Linked DNA regions of Macaca mulatta. The protein of the gene in region 1 interacts with the protein of each later gene in a biochemical or structural test. Links are inferred from orthologs where the notes say so. Each region holds a gene or a part of one and is shown on either strand. Other genes may lie near its edges.

What was found.
Region 2: the proteins of PRKACA (region 1) and BAD form a complex in vitro, tested with the Homo sapiens proteins (2 studies listed by BioGRID, with this or other methods). The link is inferred for Macaca mulatta from reciprocal best matches to the Homo sapiens genes PRKACA and BAD.
Region 3: the proteins of PRKACA (region 1) and CREB1 form a complex in vitro, tested with the Homo sapiens proteins (2 studies listed by BioGRID, with this or other methods). The link is inferred for Macaca mulatta from reciprocal best matches to the Homo sapiens genes PRKACA and CREB1.
Region 4: the proteins of PRKACA (region 1) and UBE3A form a complex in vitro, tested with the Homo sapiens proteins (2 studies listed by BioGRID, with this or other methods). The link is inferred for Macaca mulatta from reciprocal best matches to the Homo sapiens genes PRKACA and UBE3A.

The regions. Positions count from the first base shown.
Region 1 is NC_133424.1:14,692,375-14,697,975, reverse strand, and holds the start of PRKACA (cAMP-dependent protein kinase catalytic subunit alpha), read left to right. Parts: upstream 1-2,162; 5' UTR 2,163-2,273; coding exon 2,274-2,472; exon of another isoform or gene 2,473-2,656; intron 2,657-2,777; coding exon 2,778-2,839; intron 2,840-3,298; coding exon 3,299-3,427; intron 3,428-5,601.
Region 2 is NC_133419.1:10,113,330-10,118,941, reverse strand, and holds the start of BAD (bcl2-associated agonist of cell death), read right to left. Parts: upstream 3,969-5,612; 5' UTR 3,911-3,968; intron 3,645-3,910; 5' UTR 3,637-3,644; coding exon 3,450-3,636; coding exon of another isoform or gene 3,446-3,449; intron 1-3,445. UniProt on the Homo sapiens protein: Promotes cell death. Successfully competes for the binding to Bcl-X(L), Bcl-2 and Bcl-W, thereby affecting the level of heterodimerization of these proteins with BAX. Can reverse the death repressor activity of Bcl-X(L), but not that of Bcl-2.
Region 3 is NC_133417.1:112,791,768-112,797,628, reverse strand, and holds the start of CREB1 (cyclic AMP-responsive element-binding protein 1), read right to left. Parts: upstream 3,259-5,861; 5' UTR 3,206-3,258; intron 1-3,205.
Region 4 is NC_133412.1:4,570,608-4,575,700, forward strand, and holds part of UBE3A (ubiquitin-protein ligase E3A), read left to right. Parts: intron 1-3,373; coding exon 3,374-3,672; intron 3,673-5,093. UniProt on the Homo sapiens protein: E3 ubiquitin-protein ligase which accepts ubiquitin from an E2 ubiquitin-conjugating enzyme in the form of a thioester and transfers it to its substrates.

The DNA.
Region 1 (5,601 bases):
GGAGTGCACTGGTGCGATCTCGGCTCACTGTAACCTCTGCCTCCCAGGTTCAAGAGATTTTCCTGCCCCAGCCTCCCAAATAGCTGGGATTACAGGCATGCACCACCGTGCCCAGCTAAGTTTTGTATTTTTAGTAAAGACAGGATTTCACCATGTTGGCCAGGCTGGTTTCAAACTCCTGACCTCAAGTGATCTGCCCACCTCAGCCTCCCAAAGCGCTGGGATTATAGACGTGAGCCACCATGGCCAGTCTCTCCCCATATTTTATTTTATTTTTTCTTTTCTTTTTTTTTTTTCTTAGACAGAGTCTTGCTCTGTCACCCAGGCTGGAGTGCAGTGGTATGATCTCGGCTCACTGTAACCTCTGCCTCCCAGGTTCAAGCAATTCTCCTGCCTCAGCCTCCCAAGTAGCTAGGATTATAGGCACACACCACCATGCCCGGCTAATTTTTTTGTTTTGTTTTGTTTTAGAGACAGAGTCTCGCTCTAGTCTTGCCTAGGCTGCAGTGCAATGGCATGATCTCAGCTCACTGCAACCTCTGCCTCCCGGGTCTAAGCGATTCTGCAGCCACCATGCTTGGCTAATTTTTTTGTACTTTTAGTAGAAACAGGGTTTCACCATGTTGGCCAGGCTGGTCTTGAACTCCTGACCTCAAGTGATCCACCCGCCTCGGCCTCCCAAAGTTCTGGGATTACAGGCGTGAGCCACCGTGCCCGGCCTAATTTTTTTATTTTTAGTAGAGATGGGGTTTCGCCATGTTGGCCAGGCTGGTCTCGAACTCCTGACCTCGTGATCCGCCCACCTCAGCCTCCCAGAGTGCTGGAATTATAGACGTCAGCCACTGCACCCAGCCTCTCTCCCCATATGTTTTTTTTTTTTTTTTTCTTTTTTTTCTTGAGACAGAGTCTAGCTCTGTCTCCCAGGCTGGAGTGCAGTGGTGCGATCTCGGTTCACTGCAAGCTCCGCCTCCCGGGTTCACGCCATTCTCCTGCCTCAGCCTCCCGAGTAGCTGGGACTACAGGCATCCGCCACCACACCTGGCTAATATTTTTAGTAGAGATGGGATTTCATCGTGTTAGCCAGGATGGTCTCGATCTCCTGACCTCGTGATCCGCCCACCTCGGCCCTTCCCCATATTTTATACCTCAATTTAAAAAATAATAGGCTGGGTGCAGTGACTCATGCCTATAATCCCAGCACTTTGGGAGGCCAAGGCAGGCAGGTCACCTGAGGTCAGGAGTTCAAGACCAGCCTGGCCAACATGGTGAAACCCGTCTCTACTAAAAATACCAAAATTAGCTGGGCGTGGTAGCAGGTGCCTGTAATCCCAGCTACTCAGGAGGCTGAGGCAGGAGAACCATCTGAACCTGGGAGGTGGAGGTTGCAGTGATCTGAGATCGTGCCACCGCACTCCAGCCTGGCAATAGAGTGGGACTCCATCTCAATAATAATAATAATAATAATTTTAAAAATAAATAAAAAATAATAGTAGCTGACATTTATCTGGCACTAACATCACATGGGCCACTGTTCAACTCCCTTTGCCAAAATGAACTCATTCATTCCTTAAAACCACCCCACAGGCCGGGCGCGGTGGCTCAAGCCTGTAATCCCAGCACTTTGGGAGGCCGAGACGGGCGGATCATGAGGTCAGGAGATTGAGACCATCCTGGCTAACACGGTGAAACCCCGTCTCTACTTAAAAAAATACAAAAAAATAAACTAGCCGGTTGAGGTGGCGGGCACCTGTAGTCTCAGCTACTTGGGAGGCTGAGGCAGGAGAATGGCAGGAACCCAGGAGGCGGAGCTTGCAGTGAGCCCAGATCGCGCCACTGCACTCCAGCCTGGGCGACAGAGCGAGACTCCGTCTCAAAAAAAAAACCCCAAAAAAACCACCCCACTTTACAGATGAGGAAAACTGAGGCCTTGAGAGGTGAGATCAGTTGCCCAAAGTTACAGAGTTCATCGGAGACCAGGCTGGGCTCTGAACTGGATCTTGTCCCCAAGTCCTGGCCCTTAGCCACTTTGCTGGGCTGCGTCTCAGCAGAGATAAGAATGACTGTTTTCAAGCCTGTTTTCTGGGTTGTTAAACGGACACAATGGATACAAGGCAGGTTGCCGAGCGAGTCAGATGAGACAGTGTAGACAGCAGCCGGCACAGGGTCTGCCGGGGAAGTTTCAACGTTAGCCAGGCGGTGATGTTCGCCTTGGGATGCCGTGGGGCCGAGGAGTGGGCATCGGGCGAAACTTCCCTTGAACCAGCTCTGGAGCAATGCCCTTGCGATCGACACGAGAGGAACAGGGCCAGCTGGGGGCCAAGGTGACAGCTGAGCCCCCCAAGGGCGCCTGCTACCCGAGCCCCCGAGGCCTCCATCCCAGGCCCAGCCTCCCCAGAGAAGGGGCCAGAGGAACAGCCAAATCCCAAGGCTATAAATACCTCGGCTGGCGTCGGCCCTGGCCGTGGAATGTCGGTCAGAACTGGGGCGAGTGGGGGTGGGCTGGCCTGCCTGGGTGCCTCCCTCCGTTCCCCTGGGGGTGACCCCTGAGACTCTCTGTACCCCACTTTGGATGGAGTAGCAGCTGGATCCCACCTCTCTGTAGCAAGGGAGGCCCAGGCCACGGCCCGGCCAGGGCCCCCAGAGGCACCATAAAAAGGTCAGGCTCTAGGTTGAGGGAACTGCACCCCAATTTCTACCAAGTATCTCCCCAGAAATCACCTGAACCCGCCCCGGTGAAATGGAGGTCTCTGTCTAACCCTCCCCTGTCTCCCTTTCAGTGAAAGAATTCTTAGCCAAAGCCAAAGAAGATTTTCTTAAAAAATGGGAAAGTCCCGCTCAGGTAAGGCCACCGGGTACAGAGTCCGGGGAGGGGTGAGCTGGTGACCCCCAGCCCCCAGCTGCGTCCCAGCAACACAGCTAGAATTTCAGAAACCCCGTGGAAGGCTTCAGACCCTCCCCATTCACTCCCTAGGTACCCATGGGGGCTCCTGTGTGGAGACACCTGACTGCCCAATGCCAGGCACCCCCATCCCACCACCCCTTCCAACAGCCCGCCCCTGCCCCTAGCACAGCTGCCAGCAGCTCCCAGGCCCCAGGCCAGGGCCGGATCTGGCCCCTGCCACCCGCCTTAAGGAATGCGCCCTCTGCCATCTTGATTTTCCGCCCCCGTCCTCAACCCCGCTGACCCTACGTGCTCCCCGGGGCCCCCTCTGCCGGTGGCAGAGGGGATGCCTCAGACCTTAGCCCAGCAGGCCGCGGGGAGGATGCACCCTGAGCCTGCCGACCCCTCTGCCCACAGAACACAGCCCACTTGGATCAGTTTGAACGAATCAAGACCCTCGGCACGGGCTCCTTCGGGCGGGTGATGCTGGTGAAACACAAGGAGACCGGGAACCACTATGCCATGAAGATCCTCGACAAACAGAAGGTGAGGTGGCCCGTCCTCGCCTTTGCCTGGACTGTGCCCACTCCTTGGAGTGTCCTATCCACCCGTTCACTCACTTGCTTTGCTTTTTCGAGTCAGAGTCTTGCTTTGTTGCTCAGGCTGGAGTATAGTGGCGCGACCTCGGCTCACTGCAACCCCCACCTCCCTGGTTCAAGCGATTCTCCTGCCTCAGCATCCCGAGTAGCTGGGATTACAGGCACCCGCCACCACACCCAGCTAATTTTTGTAATTTTAGTAGAGATGAGTTTTCACCATGTTGGCCAGGATGGTCTCGAATTCCTGACCTCAGGTGATACACCTGCCTCAGCCTCCCAAAGTGCTGGGATTATAGGTGTGAGCCACCGCGCCTGGCCACTTGCTTTTTTGCGGGGAGACAGGATCCTGCTCTGTTGCCCAAGCAGGAGTGCAGTGACGTGATCATAGCTCACTGTAGCCTCAAACTCTTGAGCTCCTCCCGAGTAGCTGGGACTACAAGCACACACTACCATGCCTGGCTAATTTTTTTTTTTTTTTTTTTTCAAAGGCAGGGGGCCTCTTGCTGTGTTGCCCAGGCTGGTCTTGAACTCCTGGCCTCAAGTGATCTACTTCAGGCTCCCAAAGCGCAGGGATTACGGACATGAGCTTCCACGCCAGGCTCACCCACTATTCCCCGAGCCCCCATAATGTGCCAGCTCCAAGGGTCGAAAGGGCCCTGTGCTGCCTTCCCAAAGCTCCCTCTCCAGGCCGGCCATGCATTCAAAGCTGGGCACTGTGACACAGGGTCAGACACCAGTCCAAAGGGAGGAGGCCAGGAGCATTCTTGGGGAAAGCGGTGTTTACGTGGACTTTCTTCCCGTAAATATTTTTGTGATCCAACTTTATACCGGGCACTGCTATAAAGCAGCAATGTAACCAACAGAAATGTAACCCAAGCCACAGAATCGATTTTAAATTTTCTCTTTGCTCCATCATAAACAGTAAAAAGAGCCAAGCATGGTGGCGCATGCCTATAGTCCTAGCTACCAGAGGGGCTGAGGCAGGAGGATTACTTGGACCTAGGAGTTCAACTCCAGCCTGGACAACACAGCCAGACCTCATCTCTTAAAAAAAAAAAATTGTGGCCAGGCACGGTGGCTCAAGCCTGTAATCCCAGCACTTTGGGAGGCCGAGACGGGTGGATCACGAGGTCAGGAGATCGAGACCATCCTGGCTAACACGGTGAAACCCCGTCTCTACTAAAAAATACAAAAAAAAAAAAACTAGCCAGGCAAGGTGGCGGGCGCCTGTAGTCCCAGCTACTCGGGAGGCTGAGACAGGAGAATGGTGTGAACCCAGGAGGCGGAGCTTGCAGTGAGCTGAGATCCGGCCACTGCACTTCAGCCTGGGTGACAGAGCGAGACTCCGTCTCAAAAAAATAAATAAATAAAAATGTTTTTAAAAAAATTGTAATTAAAAAAGAAAGTGAAAGAAGCAGATGACATTCATGAAATTCATTTTAATGACATGTTTGGGGCTTTTGTTTTTTTTTTTTTTTTTTGAGACAGAGTCTCACTCTTGTCGCCCAGTGGTGTGATCTCAGCTCACTGCAATCTCCACCTCCCAGGTTCAAGTGATTCTCCTGCCTCAGCTTCCCAAGTAGCTGAGATTGCAGACGCCGCCACCACGCCTGGCTAAGTTTTGTATTTTTAGTAGAGACGGGGTTTCACCATGTTGGTCAGGTTGGTCTCAAACTCCTGACCTCAGGTGGTCTGCCCGCCTCGGCCTCCCAAAGTGCTGAGATTACAGATGTGAGCCACCGCGCCCAGCCTAATGATATGTTTTAATTAAGCCAGTATATCTACAGTATTACCGTTTCCATATATTATCAATGTGAAAATATCATTAATGAAACATTTTACATTCCTTTTGTTTTTTTCCCAGTCCTTCATGACTTCGGAAATATTTCCTTTTTTTCTGTACTGAAGTGTCTTTAAAATCCAGTGTCCATTGGATGCTTACAACAGGTCTCAACTCTGAGGGTAAATTTTTCCTGGAAAGAGGAGAAAAAGGAGGGAAGTTGAAAAAGCTAATTCAGGCCTGGCGCGGTGGTTTACACCTGTAATCCCAGCACTTTGGGAGGCCGAGGCAGGCAGATCACGCGGTCAGGAGATCGAGACCATCCTGGCTAACACAGTGAA
Region 2 (5,612 bases), on another chromosome or scaffold:
CCAAGACGGGCGGATCACAAGGTCAGGAGATTGAGACCATCCTGGCTAACACGGTGAAACCCCGTCTCTACTAAAAAATACAAAAAAACCTAGCCGGGCGAGGTGGCGGGCGTCTGTAGTCCCAGCTACTAGGGAGGCTGAGGCAGGAGAATGGCGTGAACCCGGGAGGCGGAGCTTGCAGTGAGCTGAGATCCGGCCACTGCACTCCAGTCTGGGCGACAAAGCGAGACTCTGTCTCAACAAAAAAATAAAAATTAAAAAAAAAATAAATAAATAGGCCGGGCGCGGTGGCTCAAGCCTGTAATCCCAGCACTTTGGGAGGCCGAGGCGGGCGGATCACGAGGTCAGGAGATCGAGACCATCCTGGCTAACACGGTGAAACCCCGTCTCTACTAAAAATACAAAAAACTAGCCGGGCGTGGTGGCGGGCGCCTGTAGTCCCAGCTACTGGGGAGGCTGAGGCAGGAGAATGGCGTGAACCCGGGAGGCGGAGCTTGCAGTGAGCTGAGATCCGGCCACTGCACTCCAGCCTGGGCGGCAGAGCGAGACTCCATCTCAAAATAAATAAATAAATAAATAAATAAATAAATAAATAAATAAATCCAGAGGCCAGCTACTTCTCACCACCTCCCTGGTGACTCTCTGAATGTCTAAATCTGACCATGCTGCCTCTGTTCAAAGCCTTTCCAGGTTTTCACCCAAAGGCAAAGTCAGAGTCCTTACAATGACCTCCAACTTTAGGTCTCCAAAGACCCTTTCCTAACCCCCTCCTCTAGGCCCACCCTAGCTGGGAGCAGGTGTTGCCCTCAGGGCCTTAGCACCTGCCCTTCCCTCTGCCTGGAACTCTCTTCCCATCATCCCTGTGGCCTTGGTTCCAGTGGTGCTTCTCACCAAGTGAGTGTTGACCACCTCTGCTACCATCACTCCCCCAGCCCCGTGACTCTGGATTCTCTTAACTCTTTTTTTTTTTTTTTTTTGAGACGGAGTCTCACTCTGTTGCCAGGCTGGAGTGCAGTGGTGTGATCTTGGCTCACTGCAACCTCCGCCTCCCGGGTTCAAGTGATTCTCCTGCCTCAGCCTCCTGAGTAGCTGGGACTATAGGTGCATGCCACCATGCTTGGCTAATTTTTGTATTTTTAGTAGAGATGGGGTTTCACCATGTTGGCCAGGCTGGTCTCCATGTCTTGACCTTGTGATCCGCTTGCCTCAGCCTCCCAAAGTGTTGAAATTACAGGTGTAAGCCTCCGTGCCCAGCTTCTTTTAACTCTTACATGCTGCCCCCATACAAATCTTCTCATCCATGATAGGATGCACTTTTGTGCTTGTTTGCTTATGGACCCACCACGTCACTAGAACGTAAGCTCCACGAGGGCAAGGATTCCTGATGCTTGGGTTCACCGAGGTCCCCCTAGCAACTGGAACAACCTGTGTCACATGGTGAACACTCACTCTGAGACACAAGTCAATGCTGAGTGTGTGTGGCGGGGGGCAGAAAGCAGGGGGAGTTTGTGAGCAGAAAAACAGCCAAGTGCAAGCTCAGAAAGTTAAAGAAAGCTGTGGAGGCCGAGCATGGTGGCTCACGCCAGTAATCCCAACACTCTGGGAGGCCAAGATGAGAGGATCGCTTGGGCCCAGGAATTCGAGACCAGGCTGGGCAACAAAGCAAGACCCCACCTCTACAAAAAATAAAAAATGAGCTGGTGTGGCAGCATGTACCTGTGGTCCCAGCTGTTCTGGAGGCTGAGGCAGGAGGATTGTTTGAGCCCAGGAGTTTGAGACCTGCCTGGGCAACAAAAGGAGACCCGCCCCTGCCCTCGTCTCTAATGAAAACATGAAAAATGTCGGGCGTGGTGGCTCACGCCTGTAATTCCAACACCTTGGGAGGCCGAGGCGGGCGGATCACAAGGTCAGGAGATAGAGACCACCCTGGCTAACATGGTGAAACCCTATGTCTACTAAAAATACAAAAAATTAGCCGGGCATGGTGACACATGCCTGTAGTCCCAGCTACCTGAAAGACTGAGGCAGGAGAATTGCTGGAACCCAGGAGGCGGAGGTTGCAGTGAGCTGAGATTGCACCACTGCACTCCAGCCTGGGTGGCAGAGTGAGACTCTGTCTCAGAAAAAAAAAAAAAAGAAAAAGTTAAAAATAAATTAACTAGGTGTAGTCCACACACCTGTATTCCCAGTTACTTGGGAGGGTAAGGTGGGAGGATCGCTTAAGCCCAGAAGTTCTAGGCTGCAGTGAGCTGAGGTCACACCTCTGTACTCCACACCTCTGTACTCCCTCCTAGGTGATAGAGCGAGACCCTGTCTCAAAACAAACAAAACAACAACAACAAAAAAAGAAAGCAAGCTATGGGATCCAATCTGAGAGAATTGAGTGTGTGTGTTTGTGCGTAAGAGAGGGAGGGGAGGCCTCTTAAGCCTTCTTAATCCTGAAAATGGGAAGGAGGTCGTTTAAGCTTCAGTGCCAGAGTGACATGACCTAGTTTTCTATTTTTAGAGATGGGGTCTGGCTATGTTGCCCAGGTTGGTCTTGAATTCCTGGGCTCAAGCCAGCCTCCTGAGCTGCTGGGACTACAGACATGGGCCACCCCACCTGGCTTGACCTGGTTTTTGTGTTCAGAAGATATATGTTGTTGTTCCAGGTGCCAAGGCCAGTGCTGGGCACAGGGGTGGTGGAGCCTACTGAGAAATGGACACTGAACCCCAGTGTCTATCCTTCCATCTTGGAGCCTGTGCTTCCCACCCCACACAGCCCTGCTGTCTGGGAGGACCGTCTGCCCCTTGAGGTCACCTGCCCCTGGCCTTTGTGCCAGGACAGGCCTGCTGTGGGCGCAAGCCTCGGGGCAAGAAAGAACACATCTGGGAGCTGGAAGGCCCAATCCCAGGGAAAGCATGTAGCCTGGGGCAGGGCACCAAGGAGTCTTCCAGCCCCCACCTTCTAAGGAAAGAAATGCCAGGCAGGTATGGCCTTAGGTAGGCCCCTTTTCCTTTTCGGATCACTGCCTGCCTGCCTGTCACTAATTTCTGTCCTGGCCCCACACTAATAGCTGCCATATATATATATACATATTTTAAGAGATGGAGTCTCCCTAAGTCACCCAGGCTGGCTTTGAACTTCTGGGCTCAAGCGATCCTCCTGCCTTGGCCTCCCAAAGTGCTGGGATTACAGGTGTGATCCGTCATGCCTGGCAGCTACCATTTTTTAGCTTTAATGTGCACCAGCTCTGTAATCAAGTGCATCCTATATGTTCCTGCTAATTAACTCAACAGTCCTACAATGGTGGTTATTAATTGCTCTGTTTTACAAAAGAGGAAACTGGGGCTCTGAGAGGTTAGGGACCGACCCAAAGCCTTCAGTGCCCGTGGATACAACTGGGATGCAGGGAGCCAGTGGGCTGGGGGTGAGGTGACCCGGCAGGTGGAGGTGGTGGGGTACTTACCTCCATGATGGCTGCTGCTGGTTGGCTGCTCCTGCTGGTGACTGGCGTCCCACAGGAGGCCTGGGGCCTGGCGATGATGCTTGCCGGAGTCTGAGGGCCTGTCCCCCGCGGGGCTGGGGCCCAGGCCCCTCTCTGCAGAGCTGGAGTCTTCCTGCTCACTAGGCTCAAACTCTGGGATCTGGAACATGCTCTGGGCTATGAGGACAAGATGTTAGGTAGTCAAGGCACAGCTGGGGCCAACGGTGGCCCTGGAAGGCAGAGGTAGGTACCCTTGGCTCCCTCTCCCACCCTAGGGCCCCCAGGCCCGCCAGGCCTCCCGGGCCCTCATTTGTCTGCTGGGTCTGGCCTGGCAGGGAGCTGATGCTGTCGGCTCAGGGCCTCAATCTCCCCTCAGAACCCTGGTGGACCCAGGCCCCTACCCAGGCCCCGCCCCGCCCGTGGTGACGGCGCACAGGTCTCACCCCAAGCCCGATCTCGAGGCCCCTGACCCGGGCCTGCCGCCTCCCTCCTGCACCCCGGGCTCCCGGCCCTAGTTGCTTGGGCAACGGGAACTGTCAGCGACCTGGCCCAATCACCTCTCGGAACGTCACTCGGGTAGGTCCAGAGGCGGGGTCAACCCGGCCCGGCCCCGCCCCCCCGCCGGACCTACGGCTACTCGCCCGCAGCCTTTTTTCTCCCTCCTGCAGCCCTGGTGCTCACATCCTCGCTGCCTCACACCTTGGACGTGTGTGGGAGCAGGAGAGGGATTCTCTGGGGTCCCCATTTGGAACCTGGAGACCCACTTCTGCCAACAAGTCCTTCAGCCCCTCTGGACCTTAGTTTCCCCCCAGTGAAGTGGGGATAGTGACAGCTCCCCCAGGAGCCAGTGAAAACTTTGTGAAGGGAGTGATTACTGCGGGCGAAGGCGCTTGGCACAGCCACAACTGAAGCTCAGCCGTCGGATGCGATTATTGTTGCTATTGTTACCGCTCCGCCTGGACTGGGTGCCCGGTCGGAAAGTCCCGCTCCCCGCTCCTCCTCCCAGGCGTGGAAGCTTCGCGCCGCCCGCCTCGGGGGACACCTCCCGCGCCACCTCGGGGGCACTGGAGATAAGGAGAGGAACCTCCTCCCTGGCTGGGATGGCTGCCCGGGCGCGGGAGGAGGGCCGGGGACCCGGTGAGGGTGGACCGTAGGGTCCGTGGGGGCTTCAGGCCTGGCAGGCGGCCGGCCAGGTGAGCAGGGCCGCGGGCGCGCCGGGGCGGGGGGCGGGCCCGCGCTGGGGATTCGGGGCTCCGCGGGTTCAGGCCCGGGGGCGGGGCCCGGGGGCCATCTTGGCTATGGGCGGAAGTTTTCTTCAGAGGCCGAGGGACGGGAATCCGTTGCCGCCCCCGGCTGGGTGGTACGACCCCGATTTGGGTATAGGAGAGAGGAGCGTGGGAATTGCCGGCCCCCCATACAAGTTAAGGCGGACCGCCCAGGCACAGCCCACCCGGGGACCCCCTGGATGCGGCACGGCCCCCGCAATTCGGCCGCCCTCCAGCCGCCTCCCGTAACCCCGGGCGCCCGCCAGCGGCGCAGCTCGCGCCAATTCTCGTACGGTTTCACGCCGGGTGCGGCGCTGGACTGCGGAGCCGGTCGGGCCCCTGCGCAATTTGCGTAGCGAACAGCGCCCGCGCAGGCGCAGGAGGGGGCGGAGCAGCGGGAGCCGGGGAGCCGGAGCCCCGGGTCCCCACGACCTGAGCCGGCTCTCCCATCAGCGGCCTGAGGACCTGGCATCCGCCTCCTCCCGCCCCTTGAGGCTGGAGAGTGGACGCGGTGGGGGGGGTGGGGCGGGGGGCAGCTTTCGAGAATTACAAGGACAGAAGGCAGAGGCCCTCCCCATCCGCATTACTGGAGGAGAGCCTCCCCCAGCTTGGGGAGGGGGAGAGCGGGGCATTGGGCGCCCCCTGCAGCGGCCGCTGCCCTGACCCGACGGGCATCGGCTGGCTCTCCCCCTCCAGCCAGGACGACACGAGCGACCGAGGCCAGGGACTCCGCTCCTTGGGCCTCTGCATCCCCCCATCCCTGACTCTGGGGTAGGCCCAGGGAGGAGACACCCCCAACCCCCACCCGGTCTGCCCTGGAGAGAAGAGACTGCCCTTCCATGCCCCTGAGTGAGGGGCCTGGGGCCCAGGCTGCCCGTGT
Region 3 (5,861 bases), on another chromosome or scaffold:
CATTCAAAACAGGTAACACTTAAGTTTTAAATTCCCAAAGAAGTGTTCTTTTAATATTCTTCAAGCAAATTCTGTCAAATAATTTATTAGCTTTCTAAATGCAGGTGTTCATGGGGGAAAAAAAAAAAAGATTCAAGTGGATCCAGCTGTAATTTTTACCGATGGCTGGAACAGTGGAGAAGTACAATTTAGTCACATGTTCCAGGTGAATGTTCACAATATTAATGAATATAAAAGTTTGAAGTTCCACCTGGAATTGCTAAGAATCACAAATTATGAATGTATAAATAATAAAATACGCTGGGCAAGGTGGCTCACACCTGTAATCCCAGCACTTTGGGAGGCCGAGGCAGGCGGATCACAAAGTCAGGAGTTCGAGACTAGTCTGGCCAACATGGTGAAACCCCGTCTCCACTAACACAAAAATTAGCCGGGTGTGGTGTCCTGCGCCTGTAATCCCAGCTACTCGGGAGGCTGGGGCCGGAGAATCTCTTGCACCCGGGAGGCGGAGCTCGCAGTGAGCCGAGACCGCCCCACTGCACTCTAGCTTGGGCAACAAGGGCGAAACTCCATCTCAAAAGAATAAATAAAAATTAAAATAAAAAATACAATTTAAAATATCTCTTGGGCAAGACTGAAGAAAGAACGTATCAGTAAACAATTTTTTTTTTTTTTTTTGAGATGGAGTCTCGCTGTGGCCTGGCTGGAGGGCAGTGGGGCAATCTTGGCTCACTGCAATCTCCGCCTCCTCAGCTACCCTAGTAGCTGGGATTACAGGCATACGTCACCACACTCAGCTTTTTGTATTTTCAGTAGAGACGGGGTTTCACCATGTTGGCCAGGATGGTATCGATCTCTTGACCTCGTGATCTGCCTGCCTCGGCCTCCCAAAGTGCTGGGATTACAGGCGTGAGCCACCGCATTCGGCCATCAGCAAACAATTTTTTAAAAATCTCACAAATGAAGAGTCGTATATTCTTTTTGTTTGTTTGTTTTTGAGACGGAGTCTTGCTCTGCTGCCCAGGCTGGAGTGCAGTGGCACAATCTCAATTCACTGCAACCCGAGCCTCCCGAGTAGTTGGGATTACAGGCGCGCACCACCACACCCAGCTAATTTTTGTATTTTTAGTAGAGATGGGGTTTCATCATGTTGGCCAGGCTGGTCTTGCACTCCTGACCTCAAGTGATCTGTCCTCCTCAGCCCCACAACATGCTGGGATTACAGGCCCTAGCCACCGCACCCGACTTACATTCTTAACAAACAAACAAACAAACAAACAAACAAAAATCTACTCAACTGATACTGGCTTGCAGAACATCATAAAGGAAAAATGGTAACTCACCATTATCAATATAATTTTTTCAGTGTTTGAAAATAAAATCATTTTCCCAATCTTTATAGAAAACCTCCCTTTACCGCATCTTCTTAAGTTTCTTGTAAATGACAAATTGCTAATGTGGTCTTTTAAAGAGAAGCAATACAACAAAGCACGTTTTGGAAAAGTGACTAGGATACAGAAAAATAAGACAGTGCTTCTGGTGCCAATCAGTATTTGTTCCTAACCAGAAGGTTTGTACGTGTCGATCACAATGCAATCATACAGTGACAGACAAGTATTTTTAAAACAAACTTGTTCGTCTTTTGCACCACCTAAAATAACTGTTTGGGGCTTTACTTTTAAATCAGGAAATGAGCCATAAATGTAAAATATTTCAATAGGCAGCAATCAAAAGTATCTTCTACTAAACCTTCAGAAGGCAGACGCCAGCTGAGGTTAGAATTATAACTTGGGATGATATTACAAACTTAAATAGGTCATACCGCATGTCCTTTAAAAATTCTTTTAATTTTTAATGTGTCAATGATTTTTCTGCTGTCCTCTTTTCCCAACAGGCGAAGAAAAAATACAGCTTGTGGCTTAAACTGGCAATCTCAAGACGGGGGTTACCTACTGCATGAGAGAGAAATAATGGATACTTTAAAGTCTATTTTTAGAAGTAGTATTAAATCTCTCATTAAAGTTCACGAAGAAATTCGTGGGAAATATGGTAGGGGGAGTGGGACAGGGTGAGGGGAGATCCAGATAACTCAAACGCGGTTGGCAAGGTTGCACCCCGCGAAATGATGTAAAACAAGAGTACATCGGCTGATAATTCGTTTCAACGAAGTGTTTCAGAATGATAGACCTCGAGTAATGATTACCTTATTGAAAAGGGTTAAAACCGAAACTGTTTTCAAACGCCAGCTTCCCTTTTATAAGATCCCAACAGTTTAAAAAGTTATTATGTTTTTCTTAGCACCCTCTTTCTCCCAAAAAGCATGCATTTCCATGACTACTGACTTTAAAAAAAAAAAAAAAAAAAAAAAAGCAAGGGGGTGAAGGAGTAAAAAATTTCCCCCCAAAACACAAGCTCTCATCTCTCAACTAAGCAGCACAGGGCAGAAAGCAGCATTTCCTCAACGGTGTGGGAGCGGAGGGGAAAGGGCATGAATAAAATACAGCACGAGAGGAAACCTTGGGTTTCGAACTTTATTGCACAAAGAGTGGAGAGAAGAGTAGGTCAGACGTTGCAGCTCTTCCCCTTGCGAAGCGGGCATGGCAGACACCGAGGCCACTGGGAAGGCAGCAGGCACCTTCACCTCCTCTGCCCTCAACTGTCGCCTTCTTCCTCCTCCACCCCCCACCGGCACCTAGGCGGCGGCTGCCCCGGAGGCCAGGCCGGGTCGGGCCGGGGGCGAGGCGGGCGGCGGGGGCCGGACGAGCGAGCGGCGCGGGGGGCAGCGCCGGGCCGAGCGGGCGGCCTCCCCCGGGGCGGCTCCGGGCTCCCGGCTCCGCGCCCGGCCCGGCGGCGGCGGCGGGAACGCGGGCGCCAGCTCGCCGCGGCCGGCCGCCCGCACACACCCCCGGCCGCCGGCTCCCACCCCGCCCGCCGCCCGCCGCCCGCCGCCCCCCGCCATGAGCGCCGCCGCTGGCTGCAGGCAGAGTCGCTGCCGCCCCGGCCGCCGCTGGCTCCAGTCCGCCGCCATTATTCTTTGTTCGCTGCGAGCGGCGGCGATGTTGTGGGGCTCGGGCGGAGGCTCCATCTTTACCGCGGCCCCTCCTGCGAGGGGAAGGCCCCAAGCGCGGGTGTCCGGCGCCTCCCCGTCCCCCCTCCGTCCCCCCGGCTCTCTCTGGCTCCTGCCTCCTCCTCCTGCTCCTCTTACCGGTGGTACAAGCTCCTCCGTCACTGCTTTCGTTCACGGCCCGGATCTCGCTGGAGTTTTATTCTCTCCCCCACGTAACACACCGCGTCAAACTACACCTCCGCCGCGTCACTCACCAACACTCCGCTTCTCCCAGCCGCCCGGGCCACAGGCAGCAGCAGCCGCCGCCGACTGAGGAGCCGCAGCCAGGGAGCCAGCCAGCGCCGCCCAGTGCCGAGTGCGCAGCGGCCGCGCACGGAAACAGCCGAGCTGGGCCCGGAGCAGCTCGAGCGGCCCCGCCCCCGCGCTGGGGACGGAACTTGCCGAAGGCCTTCGGGTTTCTTCGCGCGAGGCGGACGGGTTCCGCCGGGAGAGGGAAGGCGAAGGCGGGCTGAGCCCGGCGCCGGGAGGAGTGGTCTAAACCCCAGCGCGGCGTTCGGATCGATAAAGCTGGCGGCGGAAATTTGAAGGAGGAAGCGGGGTTTGTGTGTGGCCCAGTAGGGGAATTCCTGAGGGGTGTCGGCGACTTGGTGGAAACCCCCACGCAGGCCTGCCTCTGTGGCGGTGAGCGGCGGGCTAAGAAGGCGGCTGCGGCTGCCCCGGCTCTGGTCTTGACCGCCGCGAGCCCCGGGAACTTTCCGACGCCGCCGGGAGACGGGGGACCGCGGGAGCCGTACGGGTTGGGGAGGAAGGTCTGCTGCGCCTCTGCCAACGTCCCGGCGCCTGGGACCCGGGGACGTCGTGGGACCCCCGTGGGGACGGGTTTTCCTTTCTGAGACTCCGCAGAGAAACCTGGCGGCCGCCGGCGGAGCATGCTTTTCTGAGGGGCTTTGGCCCCGGTACTGTGGCACCTCCCGGGGCTCTGCCCGGGCCGTCGCTCTGCCCCGGCCGTGGCTGACGTCGACGGCCCTCGGAGGCCTCCGAGCCACAACCTGCCGGGACCGCTGGAAATATGCCCCATCCCACCTGCCCGCCCTTCTCCAGACAACATCCTGTGTGGCTTGCTTTCTTCAGCCTGTTTTCTACAGCAGGGATTCGCACCCACTGCACCCTAAACCCAGCAGGGGGACTTCCGTGGCTGGAAACTACTGAACTGCTCTCTCAGAGGTCGCCCAGGACCACACCACTAGGTCCCCACTCTCCCTGATAGTGAACTCTGCGCCCCTCTCCCTGGGGTTTCAAGTCTTTTTTTTTTTTTTTTTTTTTTTTGAGACGGAGTCTAGGTCTTGTCGCCCAGGCTGGAGTGCGGTGGCACGATCTCGGCTCACTGCAGCTTCTGCCTCAGCCTCCCAAGTAGCTGGGATAACAGGCACCTGCCACCACACTTGGCTGATTTTTGTGTTTTTAGTAGAGATGGGGTTTCATCATGTTGGCCAGGCTGGTCTGGAACTCCTGACCTCAGGTGATCCACCCGCCTTGGCCTCCTAAAGTGGTATGGTTACACGCGTCAGCCAGCGCGCCTGGCCTCAAGTCTTAATCATTATTTTTCTGTCCTTTAAAGGAGACGTGTCTTTAGGAAGCAGAGAGTGTTCAAATCTGGACTCCGCCCATTACTCACTTCTCTTGTAAGGAACTGTCCTTCCTGGTACTCCAGGTACCCTACTATTTTCTCATAGACTTTGCCCTTAACAAGTCTCCTTTCCTTCTGTTACTCTCAACGTTTCCTTCTCTACTGGCTCTTTCTTACTAGTATTTAAACATGCTTAAGTCTCTCAATTCTTTAAAAAGATTTCTCTTCTCCCTAAATTGCTCTGCAACAACTCCAGCTGTCTCTTACCCCTGGACAGTCTCTCACATCCCACCTCCCAGCCCTCTCCAGTGTCCCCACTGCTCACCTGGAGTGGTTCTGAATTGTCCACAGACAAGCTTCATGTCTGTAAATGCAGCGGATCGTTTTCAGTCCTCATTTTACAAGCCCTCATCCCAGTATTTGACATGTTTGACCACACTCTCTTCCAAATACCGTCTTCCCTCTGGTCTTATGTCACAGGTTTCCTCTCTACCTGAGTTTTCTCTTTAACAACCAGCCTCTCCTTCTTGATCTACCTCTTACACATTGGAATCATGCTGAGCTGAATGAACCCTGGCCTTCTTACTGAGTCTCCCCATACACTTTCCTAGGTGGTCTTATGCTCTCCCAGTAGCATCAAATACCTTCTGTCAAAGACTCTTCAATCCATAACCCAAGCCTAGGTCTTGCTCTGGAACCCTATATTCATAGTTCCAACATACTGCCTTTGGTACACTTTTCATTTGGATGACTTAGGGCATTTCAAACTCAGCCTGTGTATCATAATTCCTTCGAAATGCTCCTCCCATAGTCCCTGGTTCAGTAAAGGGTATCTTAACATCTACTCAGTTCATGCAAGAAACCTAACACACCTCCAACACACAGCAGAATCACCTACATGTGTCTGTTTCCTGGAAAATTGGATTTGTGACCTCTCTGTTCCCATGACCATTTTTTCATTCCCATTTTAGTCTAAACCACTGTGGTCTCTTGCTTGAAGTCCCACAATAACCCATTCAGGTCCTCCAAAACTGCTCTTCCCTCATTCCAATACATTTGCCATACTGCTGCCAGAGTAATTTTTTAAATATAAGTCTGATCATTGACCTGCTTAAATTCCTCCAGTGGCCTCCCTTTGCTTACCACACATTATCTAAGCTCCATTAT
Region 4 (5,093 bases), on another chromosome or scaffold:
GTGAAGAATAATAATACTCTCATCATGAGAATGCTCGTAGATACTACCACTTAAATTACGAGGAAACTGACGTACAGAAAGGTCAGGTAACTCATTCAGGGTCACATAGTTAATTAAGAGGTAGAGCCATCATGTGAACTTGGGCATCTGGCCTCAGAATGCAAGCTCTTAACTGTTAAGGTTTATTCCCCTCTAACGTGAGAATGTCTATAGAATGCATAGCACATAGGTCCTCAGAAAATTAGAGATAAATTAGCTTTGCAGAATGTGGTGGTTCCATTTCCTCAAGAAATTTGGTCTACCTTTGTGGTACCAGATATATGCATAAATGTGAGGTTCACATTATGATTCTTCAGTTTTTTTTCCCAGTTGCACATTAGTTATGAGATTTTTTTTCCATAGAATTCTTCAGTATTACTCATGTTAAAAAATAATTGTTTGGAAATGAATCACCTTCTGCAAAACAGTATAGTCAAAATGACTTAGACTCTGAAGCTGAAAGACTCCTGGACTCCTATTCTTGTCTTGGTTGTGTACTTTCTTTGAGATCTGGGTTTGGTGATTTGACTCCAGTTCTATTTCTCTCTTTGGCTGTGGACTGAAGATAATCCTCAGTATCATGATACTCAGATAACCTATGTCAAAGTGCCCCGCAGTGTGTGTAATATGTTATCAGGCATCCAACAAATACTGGTTTCTTGTTCACCTCCCTATTACATAAAATAACTTAAAATTAGAACTGAAGGGACTCATAAAGCTGGGAAAACTGAGGCCCAGACAGTTATTTCCCTAGGATCCTACAGCTACTTAGGGACAGAAGGATGACACTTAATGCAGGTCTTCTGATTTTTCAGTCTCATTCTGTTTGTGCTGATCACTCTCCTACTATGTAGTATGTAAAGAAGTACTATGTATCTGACAGGTTTTGGGGAAGTTATTTTAGTATAAAAGCTCACATTAAAAATATCTATCTTAGTATTTTGACTTTTATAATTTTTTTAAAAATCAGAGACAATTTAATATATCTTGGGGCCATTCAAATCATGTATATGAAGTTTTAAAACTGTTGTTTTCCCTTATAGTTATTAATTTTTAATATGCAAGTAGCATCCTTATTATGGAAAGAATAAATAAGAAATCAAAAGATGAAAGAAGTTTTAAAACTAATTTAATCACATCGTCCAGAGAAAATGCTATTAATGCTTTGAAATAACAATGGGTTCATCCTACACCTGCTACCTTGTAACTGACTTTTGTCAGTTAGTGATATATCAGGAAGACTAGGCAGTTCCTTGTCAGATTCAATCTTGATAGGTTTTATTTTATTGTGTGACCTATTATCAGTTCATTTAAGTAATCTTTTATTAAACATGTTGATTTTATTCAGATATGGAAACTGCATTTTTGTAAAATTGTCAAATTGTTTTCCACAAGTAGAATCTCATTCATGTGGTATTCATGTTTTTAAGACTTTCGATACGTATTCACTATTTTCCTCCAGAAAGGAAATACCTGTTTACATTTTCACCAGGGAAGTCACTGTAGTTTGGGAGAACATGACATTATCTCCCTTTCTTTACTGAAGACTAACAATGTATGTTTTAAAGTTTCTGGATTCTCCATTCCCCTTTTATTTTTACATGTTTTCACTTTCATATTTTGCATAGTGATAAATCTGTGATAACAGTTTTTAATTTTCAGGTTGGGTTGTTTATAGCTTCATAGATAACAAAATGTCTCTAAGTCATGTTTATGCAATTTTTACCTGTGCTTTGTGGGTTTTCTTTTTTCTCTGTTTGCATGCAGTGAGTGGTAAATTTGCATGGAACATTTGAAAAAATATAAGCACCAGAATGAATTGAATCTGTGTGAATTGTCACTTTTTGTCACCTACCTGCATAGTTTAGACAGTCAAAGTCTTTCTTTTGAGACAAAATTGGATCTCATTTGTCTCTTCACTTACTTGCTGTCTTGTTACTGAGTTTCTCATGATTAGCAAGATGTAAATTCTCTGCCATTGGTCATTTAGTCCTACATGTTAGTAAGATAATTCTGTGAATTTTTTGAAAATTAGCTGAATTATTTTTCTTATAATTTTGATTCTTCGTAGTTTTTATTTCCATACTTGTGAATTTGGGACCAAAAGGAATAGCTATGACTTACGTTTCTTTGGATCCAGTAGTTTATTCTACTGAAATTATGGTGTTCTCATCATCAGTTAGTAGAAGTACAGACTCTTTAGTGTTGAATATAGAGATAATGTCATCTAACTTCTTACTTGATCACATAATTCCTTCCTCAGTTTTGGTAGCTCTCTTGTAACAGCTGAAATAGGACATTAATCTGTGTACTTTAAGTTCACAGAGTAAAAGGAATATAAGATTTTGAGTGATGCAACTTAAAATACTCCATCTTGTAATGTGGAACTAAGGAGGAGGTTTAGTGACAAGTTTTAGATTTAAGATTATATACTTTGGAGCCTCTTTTTCTTTTTTATTTTCCTTTTTTTTTTTTTTTTTGAGACAAAGTCTAGCTCTTGCCCAGGCTGGAGTGCAGTGGTAGAATTTCGGCTTATGGCAGCCTTGACTTTCAGGCTCAAGTGATCCTCTCACCTCAGCCTCCCAAGTAGCTGGGACTACAGTGCATGCCACCACACCTGGCTAATTTAAAAAAAAATAACACTTTGTAGAGAGTAGCCTCACTAGGTTGCCCAAGCTGGTGTTGACCTCCTGGGCTCAAGTAGTCTGCGTGCCTCAGCCTCCCACAGTTATGGGATTGATTACAGTCATGATCTACCTCACTCAGGCTGCAGCCACTTTCTTTCAGTAGCTTTGGATATTCCACTTACAAATTTATTTTTAAGTCTCCCATGTGGTTGATAATTGGGAAAAATAGTTTTTATTCCAGATAGATATTCTGTGTTAACTGTAAGTCAAATGTTTACAAACTGTTAAAAATGAAATAGTGATTATGTAAAGGAAAACTGGATTTTCCTAATGCTAATTTTTAAAATGATAGAATCCTAAAACTCTTAGCTGTAAACCTGGTGATTTTTCAGCTGTTGTACTAAACAACTTAAGCACATATACCATCAGACGAGCCCCCCTCCCCCCTTTTAAACCAAAGGAGTGTATACTCTGTTAATGCAGTCAGTAAGCATTGACATTCTTTATCATATCCTAGAAAATATTTATTAGCTATTTCACTAGTCAGGGGTTGTTGGTAAATAGTGCATCTCCATTTTCTACTTCTCATCTTCGCACACAGGTTAATCACTTCAGTGCTTGACTAACTTTTGCCTTGATGATCTGTTGGGCTTTGTACATGACAGCTATACTAATCACTGTGCTTATTGTTTGACTGTTTGGTACAGGAAGCGAGCAGCTGCAAAGCATCTAATAGAACGCTACTACCACCAGTTAACTGAGGGCTGTGGAAATGAAGCCTGCACGAATGAGTTTTGTGCTTCCTGTCCAACTTTTCTTCGTATGGATAATAATGCAGCAGCTATTAAAGCCCTCGAGCTTTATAAGATTAATGCAAAACTCTGTGATCCTCATCCCTCCAAGAAAGGAGCAAGCTCAGCTTACCTTGAGAACTCGAAAGGTGCCCCCAACAACTCCTGCTCTGAGATAAAAATGAACAAGAAAGGCACTAGAATTGATTTTAAAGGTAAGATGTTTTATTTTTAATTGAGAATTGTTGGCTGAAAACCATGTGGGAGATTTAAATGTATGAGTTTTTATTTGTTTTTTCTTATGTGACATTAAGACATTTTGATACTGTAGAACCAATTTTTTGTTTTGGTAAAGGACAGGAATAATAACTACATTTTACAGGTTTAATCGTTGCTAATTAGAAGCAGATCATATGCCAAAAGTTCATTTGTTAATAGATGGATTTGAACTTTTTAAAATTCTTAGGAAAAAAAGTATTAATTGATAGTTAATCTCCAAAACTAGGCCACAACATCTATTTAAGTTATAGAATAACTGGACTCAGTATCTGGCATGAGTTCTGGAACCTCAGGATGATGTGATGAAAGAAGTAGGAAGAGGAAGCAGTGGGTTTTTTTCCATTTTAGAAGGCAAGACAAAATTTTGTGATAGTTATGTGAGAATTCTACATTTCCTTCAAATATATGCTTCTCACTCTCCTCACAAACATTTGGTACAGTCATGCTGCCAAGGGTGGTGACCTACCAATGACAATCTTCACTCAGGTCTTTTGTTTTTTAAATGGTCCTGTGTCCAAAATTCAGGATTCGATTACCTTGTCGCTAATACTAAAACTCCAAGTTATTTTCCTCAGTGAATGTAATTAGTAACACGGTAATCAAATTTTTGAATGACTGCCAGGGCTTAGCGCCCCTGCACCCCCACCCCCATACACACGCAGAGGCAATTGTATTTTAAGAGAGAAAGCTTTTTGTTTATGACGTGTAAGTGACAGAATTTTAGAGGCATTTGCCTCTAAAACTTTCAGTAACATCATCTGAATCAAGTTTGAAAGAATTAATGAAGTGGCATTGTGTTATAACCTCTACTGTTTCCACAATAGAATTATTTTCGTCACTTTACACAACTTTGTTGCTTCAGAGTGTATAGTTCTGTTTCATGAATTAGCTCACACACTGTGGAAAAATAGGTAAATGTCTATATATATAGTGTGTCAGTATAATGTGGAAGCTGCATTGACTCTATTGTACACAGTTCTCCAGTAAGTGTGCACCACAGAGTACCAGTAACTGAACGCAGAGTGCTGGCACAGTGGAATGCAGCCAGCTGGGGGGGGTGTGATACATGAGGAATGTACTCATCTGCTCTTTTGGCCACATGCTCCATCTTAGAGATGCTTATTGTGTGGCTTTATCCGGTCTTTATGCCCCCACCTCTTTTTGCTGAAGTCTGCATTAGTTAGCAGTTTTGACCTTTCCTTTTTCCTACTTTCTAATCTGCTACTGGTACTATTCCCTGTTCTTTACTGTTTTGTTTTTGTTTTTGTTTTTGCAGTGTTTTACAGTTACTATCATATATTAGAAATTAGAAATGCTGTCTCTGCACTAGTACTCTTATTTTGATTATTAATTATGT